2 linked regions of the Rattus norvegicus genome follow. Each later gene encodes a partner of the first gene's protein in a complex. Links are inferred from orthologs where the notes say so. Each region holds a gene or a part of one and is shown on either strand. Other genes may lie near its edges.

Region 1 (4,712 bases):
TCTCTGCATTCGTGCGTCTGCCATTCTCTTCTCTCACAGGAGAGAACTGTTTCAGAAAATCAATGGGGCCCGGGACAATGCCGCGAAGATCCTAGTTGTCATCACAGACGGAGAAAAGTTTGGTGACCCCCTAAATTATGAGGATGTCATTCCTGAGGCAGAGGAAGCAGGGATCATTCGCTACGTTATTGGGGTAGGAAATACAGATATCGGGCTTGCTACCTCTGTTGAGACTGGAGATTTTCTACCAATGCATTTTGTCTTCAATGTGCAAATATTGGTAAAATTAAAGGAAGACTCTCACGCAATAATGCTGTATGTGTAACAAACAATTCCAAGTACAGGGGTTTTATAAGTCAGCCTGTCAGTCAGCAGGTTGTTTCCTGGTCTCAGCAAGACTCACTTACATGTCTGCCATTAGCTGCAGGCTGAGGACAGATCTGCTGGGGTTGTCTTTGCTCTCCCCACTTGTGGATGATTTATGTTTGTCTGCTGGGAAGATGGCCTTGCTGGGAACAAGTTGGGTAACTTGGCTCTACTGCCCGCTGGGTCTCATTTTCCAGTGGCCTCACCGGGGGATGCTCTCATGACAAAGACAGAGGGGAGGGAGTAGATATTGCTGGCGTGGTTTTTTTTTTGTTTGTTTGTTTGTTTGTTTTTTAACAAACTTCTATTTGTATCACATTTGGTAGCAACCATGGCTGACACAAAGACAGTGAGTGGGGCAGGATATTCCATCAAGGTGGGCATGGCAGAATTTGGGAGAAATGTTTGGGTCCAGAAAGGTAAAATGTTAGATCACCAATGTAATTACGCTTATGAGCCACCTTGAATAACAGAAAAAAGCATCATAAACCGATAGTGTGGCATATAAGAAGGACCTTCACATATAAAAATGCTTCTCTTGGGGCTGGAGAGACGGCTTAGTAAGAGCACTTACTGCTTTTCCAGAGGACCAGAGTTCAATTCCCAACACCCAGGTCAGGTGGCTCATAACAGCTTGTAACCCATCTTCAAGGGATCTGACAACTCTGGCTACAGACACACAATGCACGTGCGTGCGCACATACACACACACACTGATGTACACATGCACACACACACATGCACAGGCACACATGCACACACAGACACACAGAGACACACAAATACACTGACACACACACGGAGACACACAAATACACACACAGACACACAGAGACATATAGAAACACACACATACACACACACAGACATATAGACACACACACGCATGCACACACACACACACAGAAACACACATATACAGAGACACACAGACAAACACATACACATATAGACACAAAGACACACACACAGACACACAGACATACACACACACATACACACACAGAGAGAAAAAGGTAGACTTATAAGCAAAATAATAATAAAAAAAGGAATCTCTTTTGCTGGCGAGATGTCAGCCCCATACCAGGAGGAATGGCATAACAGATGGGTGGCCATCTGGAGACCACATTGCTCCCCATGCTCTGTGCAACCTGCCTAACTGTCCCCGACAGTCCTGTTCTAAGAAGCCTTCTGCTGAACTCTTTATGGGACAGAAAGAGTTTCAGATTCTTTCATCAAGGGATTTTCTTTGCTACACGGGACTGCTACCATTAGAGAACATATAACTTGATTCCTTGGCAACAGGTGGGAAACGCCTTCCACAAACCACAGTCCCGCAGAGAGCTTGACACCATCGCGTCTAAGCCAGCTGGTGATCACGTGTTCCAAGTGGACAACTTTGAAGCTCTGAATACCATTCGGAACCAGCTCCAGGAAAAGATCTTTGCAATTGAGGGTGAGCCGGCCAGTGCAGACCAGCGGTTCCTACTTAGCATCTGGACCCCAGCGTCAGCTCCTCTCCAGCCATTTGGGTCTGACTTGCTCCATCCTTTTGAATAAGCAAAGCTAGATTTTTGTCTTTAATTCTCAGGTCTAGGGTATACGATGATCAAACTGTAGCACAGTGGATTCAAATCCTGCACAATGTTTTACCAAGAATTTATGTCTGCTATGAGCACTGTTTGACTTACTGTCACATCTCCTCTGCCTGGTGTGTGCTACAGAGAAATGGTCAACAAGGATTTATTGAATACATTTACAAGTTTGATAAATGTTTAGAGGGATATATTTTTGAGTTCTAGTCTTACCTTGTAGTCCAGGGTGACCTTGAACTCTTGGTAGTCTTGCCTCAGCCTCTCAAGTGCTACACGTATGTGCTACCACACCTGACTGAATAGGGCACTCCACATGTCACCTGGATCTATGGTTTCTGTGGAAAAGTTGGAAGGTTAAATATCTGGAGGACCCCATTTTTCCTTGGAAAAGGTAGCAGTGACAGAAGGGCTGCCATCCCTGTGAGGTGCATGTGTTTAGTTCAACACCAGAGCCTCCCTTTGCGTGGTGACGATAGCATTTGAGGTTTTGGGTATTTGGTCTACGCTTTTCTGCTTGCTTTAACAAGGGACATTTTCTTCCTTACAGGCACCCAGACAGGAAGTACCAGCTCCTTTGAGCATGAGATGTCTCAAGAAGGCTTTAGCGCTGCCATTACCTCTGTGAGTGGTCCTGCATCTGGCCTCTTTGTTCCCAGAGATAACGACTCTGAGGCTTAGTTACATGTTAATAAATGCTTAGGCCATAAGCTTCAGCTTGTTCCCCGATTAGCTCAGTTAATTATATAACCCGTTTAAACTAGTCTATGTCTTCCACATAGCTAGTTACCTCTCCTTCAGTCTCATGCAACCGTCTCCTCCCGAGTTCAGGGCGAATCTTTCCAGCCTGACTCTCCCAGAATTCCCCTCCCTCTCCCTGCCAGATGTCCTCCCTCCTAATCCTGCCTTAGATCACCGACCATAGCCTTTTTATTGATAGACCATGCTTCCATATGTCATAGGGGAGATTCTCATGATGGAGGCTCGAGGGTTTGGGGCAGGGTTTCATGGGGGAGGCTTTTTGGTGGGCACCACTGGTCCGCACTTCCTTTTTCTCTCAATCCTGTTATGCTCCCTTCCCCAGAACGGTCCCTTGCTGGGCTCCGTGGGGAGCTTTGACTGGGCAGGTGGAGCCTTCCTGTATCCATCAAAGGATAAAGCCACTTTCATCAACACAACCAGAATAGATTCAGACATGAACGATGCTTACTTGGGTAAGTGCTCTAGGAAGGGGTGAGGATGTGACATCAGTCAGCTGACATGGAGGCCATTGGCTCTTTTGCTGGCCCTTGGGATAGCCGTAGAGATTCTTTTTTAAACATTTACTTTTAGTTGTGTTCACAGTAATTACACCGACACATCAAGCATGGGGATGCTCTATTCCCTTACTTGAGAATGGCCCTACCGTGGAAAGGAGGGCCAGGTCTGCAGTGAAAACACTTGGCCTACTAAAGCATTCCTTTTAGGTTATGCTTCTGCAGTCATCTCGAGGAACCGCGTCCAAAGCTTGGTTTTAGGGGCACCTCGATATCAGCATATCGGCCTGGTGGTGATGTTCAAGCAGAATTTCGGTGCCTGGGAGCCCCACACTGATATCAAGGGCAGCCAGGTAAGTGTGGAGTGTGTGAGGCATGAATACAGAGACATCCAGAACTGAGAGAATCTAGGACAGAACAGTGCCATGTGTGGCCGTCTTTGCAGGGCTTTATGTTAGAGTCCCAGGCCAGCTTTGTGTATGAGAATGCTGTGTGCCTTTGACTTTTCTTCCTTTTGCTGTGGTACTGGGGTTTGGACCCAAGACTTCACACGTGCTAGGCAAGTGCTTTGCCACTGAGCTATAGCCCTGTGCTAGCCTCGGCATTTCTAGCGGTAACTAGTAATATTTAACCTGTATAGAGCTTTCTATGACTACCTGTTTCTGGAGTTGGCATTCAGCTAGGACATAACCAGTATAGCCACACTAGATGTTAAAATATGGAAACAATTCCATATTTGTTGATGGGCTGGGGAGATAACTTAGACATGAGTTTGATTTTCAGAGACCACATTAAAAATTTGGGGAGGTGGAGACAGGGGGATCTTTTGAGCTTTCCTGGCTAGCCAGTATACCCTACTTGGTGAACTCCAGACCAATGAGAGACTCTGTTTCAATAAACACGGTAGCTAGTTATCGAAGAATGACCCCTAAGGTTGACCCTGGCTTTCTCTCTCCCTCTCTCCATTTCTCCCTCCCTCTCTATCTCTGTCTCTTTGTCTCTGTCTCTTGTCTGTCTCTTTGTCTCTGTCTCTTGTCTGTCTGTCTGTCTCTCTCTTTCTCTTTCTCTCTCTCTAACACACACACACACACACACAGACACACACACACGCACAGGCACCCCCATACACATACACATAAAAATACTGAAGTAATTCCACATCTGCTGATAAGTGGCTGTTTCTCTAAGATGCCTCATGTGGACAAACTGGTGTCAAAGTTCATGGGGAAATGTAAAAGACCCAGAATAACCAAAACAATCTCAAAAAAGAAGTATGCTTTCCAATGCAAAATTTATAAGACCCGGTATGGTACTCTGTGCAGAAAAATCTCAGTATGCAAGAGGGTGAGGTAGGAAAATTATCAGTTTGAGGTCAGGTTAGGCTCCACAGTAAGTTCTAGGCTAACCTGGGCTCTACCGTTTGAGACTCAGTCTCAAAAACAAAATAAAACAACAGCAGAACCAACCACGGCCCCTCCCTCCACCGACTATACAGGAG
Region 2 (5,253 bases), on another chromosome or scaffold:
TTCATGATGTGCACAGGTGAAACCGGATGCACACACATGCACTGCTTCATGGCACAGGTGAACTTTCAAACAGGGACGTGCACAGTCTGGGAATTGGTCTTGAGGAAGGTATGCGTGAAGAGGATAGTCTGTAAGGAAGACAGATCAGGTGTGCAAATGAATTTCCGCCGATTCTTTCCTTGGGGGACATGGGGAGGTGGAACAAACCAAGACTGATGGACTAAAAGCTCTACTCCTGCAGGGACACCTTTGTCTGGAGATGACTCTTGTGCACTGGCACAGGTATCAGTCAATAGAAGACCCGCAGTCCTTAAAACTGCTTGCCATAGACTAATGGTTCTAAATTTAGGAAAGGAGTGGTCTTGAGACCTGAGGGCTTAAAGCACCTATAGAATCCATAGGATCTACCAGTTGAGTTGACGAGATGTATCTTTGGGACGGTGAGAAAATTGGAGCCAGTTTTATAATTTGGACCTGTTTGGGTAAATTGGAGATTTACGCCATCTTTTCCCATCACTTTCTATGTGACACTCAATACTGGTCTGTCACTTTATGCTCTCCTTGGTTAAAGGAGAGGCAGATCTCAGAACGCCAGGAGTGTCCACCCTCTGAGTCTTAGAAAGCCCAGAGCTTGAGCCGCACTGATTATAACCCTGCGTTCTTTGCCAAGAGCATGTCAGTGTCACAAAATATGTGACCCCGGAGGCACCGAAGAAGCCAGGAATGGAAAAATCCCCTAAAGGAAAGTGACATTTAATTGGGAATGTTCAGAGATCTGTCACTCCTTGTGACAACCCAGAAAAAGTGCTTTGGGGCTTTGTGACTGTAGGTGAGCTGCAAGTAGCAACTGAAGTTAGCAGGGACTCCGGGCAGGGAGGCCTTTAGGGGTGGAGAGCAAGGGACAGCTGCCTTTGCACATCGCTCCCTCAAACCTGAATATCATGTTGTTGTTGTTGTTGTTGTTGTTTTCTTTTTAAGCGCCTGACCAAAACTGCAGTTTAAAATGCAATCAATTTTCCGATTAAGAAATTAAGATATCGGGGCTGGGGATTTAGCTCAGTGGTAGAGCGCTTACCTAGGAAGCGCAAGGCCCTGGGTTCGGTCCCCAGCTCCGGAAAAAAAAAAGAAAGAAAGAAAGAAAGAGAGAGAGAGAGAGAGAGAGAGAGAGAGAGAGAGAGAGAGAGAGAGAGAGAAAGAGAGAAAGAGAGAAAGAGAGAAAGAGAGAAAGAGAGAAAGAGAGAAAGAGAGAAAGAGAGAAAGAAAGAAAGAAATTAAGGTATCCAGATCGATAAGTCGAGGTGTGGACCCATGGGAGGGGGAAAAACCAGTGCTTGGGAGTTTGTACAAGAAATACCGTGCTGGGTGGATGCTAAGAACAAATGGTCTTATATCCCATGGTCTTTCTACGCAAATCCGTTTGGGGAAAGACTGCCCCCAGAGTAGCCGGCTTTTCATAAGCTTCCCAATCAGATTTCGGGGGCAAAGCACTCCCCCCTCCCTCGCACAGCCTGCTTCTTCTCTCTGCCCGCTCTCTTCCCTCCCATTCTCTATTTCCCTCCCCGGCAGGGTGTAATTGAGTGAAGGCAGGATCAGGTTCCCCGCCTTCCCGTCCAAAAATCCCGCCAAGGAAGCCCCAGAGCACAAGAAAATCCAAAGTGGAGAGAGGGGAAGAAAGAAAGCACTGAGTCATCCATCCAGAAGGGGGGAGAGCGCAGCCGCCCAGGCAGGAGCAGCAGCCAGCGATACCTGGAGTCCGTTGCAGAAACCTCGCCCTGCACTTTGCAACAAAGGCAGCCTGCTAGTCAGCAAGGACATCTGCAAGCCAAAGTAAGTGCAAGGCACCCTGTGGATTTCCCCCAAAGGGTCTCTGGTGGAGTGTGCCTACCCCAAAGCCACTTTTCCTGGCAGCCTGCAGTACGTGGGGGTTGGAACTGGAGAGAAGCTGCCTGGAGTCCGCTAAATAGGACTGCCTTTAAGAAACGGACTTGCTCCAGAAGGCAAACCAGCCGAACGGAAATTTGGGGGGACGAGTTCAGTAACCTAGCCTGTGCTTGGATGGGAAGAAGGAAAGCAGCTTTTGTGCTGAGGAGGGAGAGTGCATGGGGATGGCATTCCTGCTACCTGCTGGAGCATGCAAAGCGCGGGAGAGGGCACATTTGTGCTCTTTGTAAAGCCTGGAGCTTTTGGTGGGTGTGTCTGGCCCAGTCGGCGAGAGAGAAGGAAGGGTGTTCCAGCAGGCAGGTCTCATTTTCCTGCCTCCACTTCTCAGGTTGCCCTAGAGCTTGCCAACTGCCAACTGCTGCCCGCTCTAGGTGTGGTACATGCCTGGCAGCCTGCCCCTCCTGTGTCTGCTGATGGAGAAGCATCTCTCCAGAACAGCCTGCACTCCCTAGCTTGCCTGCCCGCCGGCCCAGGAATGCTTCTAGAAACAGTTCAGTCCAAAGTTTCAAAGACATGCCTTGGATTCTACCTTTGCTTGGTTGGGGTGCTAACTGGCACATGAGCACTTACATTTTCAGTTTTCGCCAAATAAACCAGGGATGTGGTAAAGACTAGTTTGGCAGACACACAGAATTTCTGAGGTGATATCCCAGTTGTTACCATAATGTATTTATGTATTTTGAGAACGTAGTCACTTCTTTTTTTTTGCGCATAAAACATAACCTTTCCTCTGTTCTAAAATGTGTGTGCGTGCACACACACACACACACACACACACACACACACATTTCTACAGAATATGATGTGGAACATAAATACAAGAGCACATGTGTAATTCGCACACAGATTGCTAACTAGTTCTTGTCTCCCTAGTAATAAGGACTTTGGAGCTGTAGGGGCAGAGTGAGACGGTGGAAGTAGAGTGGGTGCCTCAAGGAAGGAAAGAATGCTCACCTCAGGGGAGAACAAAGTAAGAGCATTCTAACGGGTCGACATCTTTCCTCTTGAAACTACCAGGCATAGTTTAAGAAAGTGTGTGTGTGTGTGTGTGTGTGTGTGTGTGTGTGTGTGTGTGTGTGTGTGTGTGTGTGTGTGTGTGTTGGAGGGAAGTGCCTGGGAGGCACTTCAGGAACTACCAAAGAAAAGCTTTTGAACTAACAACATAATGGAGCAATTTCACAGGCAAATGTGGAGCTGATGAAACGGTACAGCCCATTTTGGCCCTTTGATCATCTGGGAATGAATTGTTTTGTGAGAATATTAAAAGGTAATGAGAACGAAACAAAAGAGAAGTCGGCCAACACAGACTAGAAGGCTGGTCTTTTCCAGATTCATTATGTCCTTTTAAAGTAAATGATGTGCCTTCAAGGCCAAGCCATTAGAAACACTTATAGTCCAGTTCAATTCAAGGGAAACTAGGGTATCCTCCCACTCCTCTTTGGGACCTGTGTTATTTTAGACCACCAATAATGGTTATTTCTTATCAAAATGAAGTCACTTTATTTTAAAACCCCAATACCATGCTTTTGAACTATAAGAAACTTTAAAAAATTCTCTCATCAGAGTTAAAGTCTTTAGACGAAGGCAATCTTTCTCCTGCTGCTCACAGACCAGGTCTTTCTCACCTAGCAGACTGCCTTTATTTACAATGCCTTCTCCAGGCCCCACCCAGCTAGCTATAAACCCTAGCCCCTCTCTGGATCAAAGTGTTTCTTTGTGGCTCAAACACTTTATATTATCAGTGGTAGAGCTGTGAGAGAAACAGACCTACTGTTAACACGAAGTTTCGTCATCTGATTCCTAAATAATATCCCATGGGGGATGAGAATAGAATATTCTACATATTGTATTGTGTGTATTATATAGTATTTAATTGTAATCCAGAACCCCAATTTACCTCTTTAGTGAAAGTTTTATGTTTCTTTTTTCTTCATTTGTTTCTTTATTGTTTTCTTTGTTTCTTTTTTATTTTATTATTATTGTTCAAGATAGTTTCTCTATGTAGCCTTGGCTGTCCTGGAACTCACAATGTAGACCAGGTTGGTCCCTGACTCACAGAGATTTGCCTGCCTCTGCTTCTTCTGTTCCAGGATTAAAGGTATGCACCCTCACCTTCAGATAATTTCCATGTTTCTTATTTGGTCATTACAAACAACAGTCTGAAGCAAGATCTGAATTTTCTTTTTTGTAACCGGGTAATTGTTTCCTTGCAATTCAACGACATGGTTTGCATTTTCACAGAAACCTGTACACTGAAAATAACACAAGATCCCCAAATAGTTTGTTTCTATCAACAAAGTTAATCTTAGAAATCAAATATTTTAGGTTTTTAAGTTTTTATTTTCTCTTGCAGATATTTCTGATTTCTCATTTTAGTAGCAATCCCGCTTGGCATTCATGCTCTTATGCCTCTCTGTGTTCCCTGGAACACTCTAAATTTGCCCGAGCTGTTTGAGCTGCTGAGATGCTAACAATAGGCTGAAGTCAGAAGTAAGGTTACAAGTGGCAGCTCCCCAAACACTTGTGCTCTTAACATGGCAACATGGTAACAAGGGTCTTATCCTTGGCTCTTGTACTGATGATAAGGCCCAATTGAGACTACTCAGGGCAGTGGGGCAGCAAGGGTGCTCCACACCAAGGAGTTCCCCTGACTTCCTTTGAAGAGTGCTTTATACTGGCTCATCCACCAGGGCAGAGCTCTGTACGGCTTGTGACCCATGCTTTGTGGGGAAAGCTGGGCTGGGTGAGGACACCAGTCTCATGAGCAAACGGAAGAAGCACTTTTGTATCCTGTGGTACAGGCCGTGCTTTCTCCCTGGGAGTGAGGGTGAAGGAACATGTGGTTATGGGCTACTTCTTTGGGAGCTGGGTCTGTTTTTTCCATCCTGGGTCAATTGGCTTGAGGACAATTAGGGAAGTCTTCCAATTCTTGGTGATTAAGACTTGTCCAAGATACCATTGTGTTGGGCTATTTTTCTAGGCACTATGAGCCAGACTTGTAGATAGCAGTTTGCATGTTGCTACTACAATCTTTCTGGATCAGTAACTACAACAGGTCTTTCATGACTATGTGAGGTATTTGTTTAAAAGGGTAGCTATGAACAAACACCATTGAGGGCTTATACCTATGGCAACACTTGAAAATTTGATGATGCAGCTCACCTTTACTGTAATTCCTCATGGATTAAGGATAGGCAGGGATGGGCTGGAGAGATGGCTCAGCCATTTAAAGACTAGGCTGACGACCAAAAATATAAGGCTAGGCAGGGATAATGTAAACAATAGTTCATGCCTGAGACATTTTGAACAATA

Evidence for each region. Proteins that work in one complex are often made in the same cells at the same time.
Region 2: the proteins of Itgam (region 1) and Ptn are in contact, whole or in part, in an NMR structure (PDB 8VOH), measured with the Homo sapiens proteins. The link is inferred for Rattus norvegicus from reciprocal best matches to the Homo sapiens genes ITGAM and PTN. Residues at the interface, in NP_000623.2 of Homo sapiens: Pro273, Asp276, Arg277, Gly279, Val280, Ile281, Arg282, Tyr283, Lys306, Pro307, Arg309, Asp310, His311, Ala334, Ile335, Glu336, Gly337, Thr338, Gln339; in NP_001308315.1 of Homo sapiens: Val56, Pro57, Thr58, Ser59, Asp61, Cys62, Gly63, Leu64, Thr66, Glu68, Thr79, Lys81, Thr82, Gln83, Arg84.

Annotation. Positions count from the first base shown.
Region 1 is NC_086019.1:192,106,121-192,110,832, forward strand, and holds part of Itgam (integrin alpha-M precursor), read left to right. Parts: intron 1-39; coding exon 40-193; intron 194-1,671; coding exon 1,672-1,822; intron 1,823-2,508; coding exon 2,509-2,582; intron 2,583-3,042; coding exon 3,043-3,172; intron 3,173-3,424; coding exon 3,425-3,567; intron 3,568-4,712.
Region 2 is NC_086022.1:66,338,842-66,344,094, reverse strand, and holds the start of Ptn (pleiotrophin precursor), read left to right. Parts: upstream 1-1,762; 5' UTR 1,763-1,827; intron 1,828-5,253.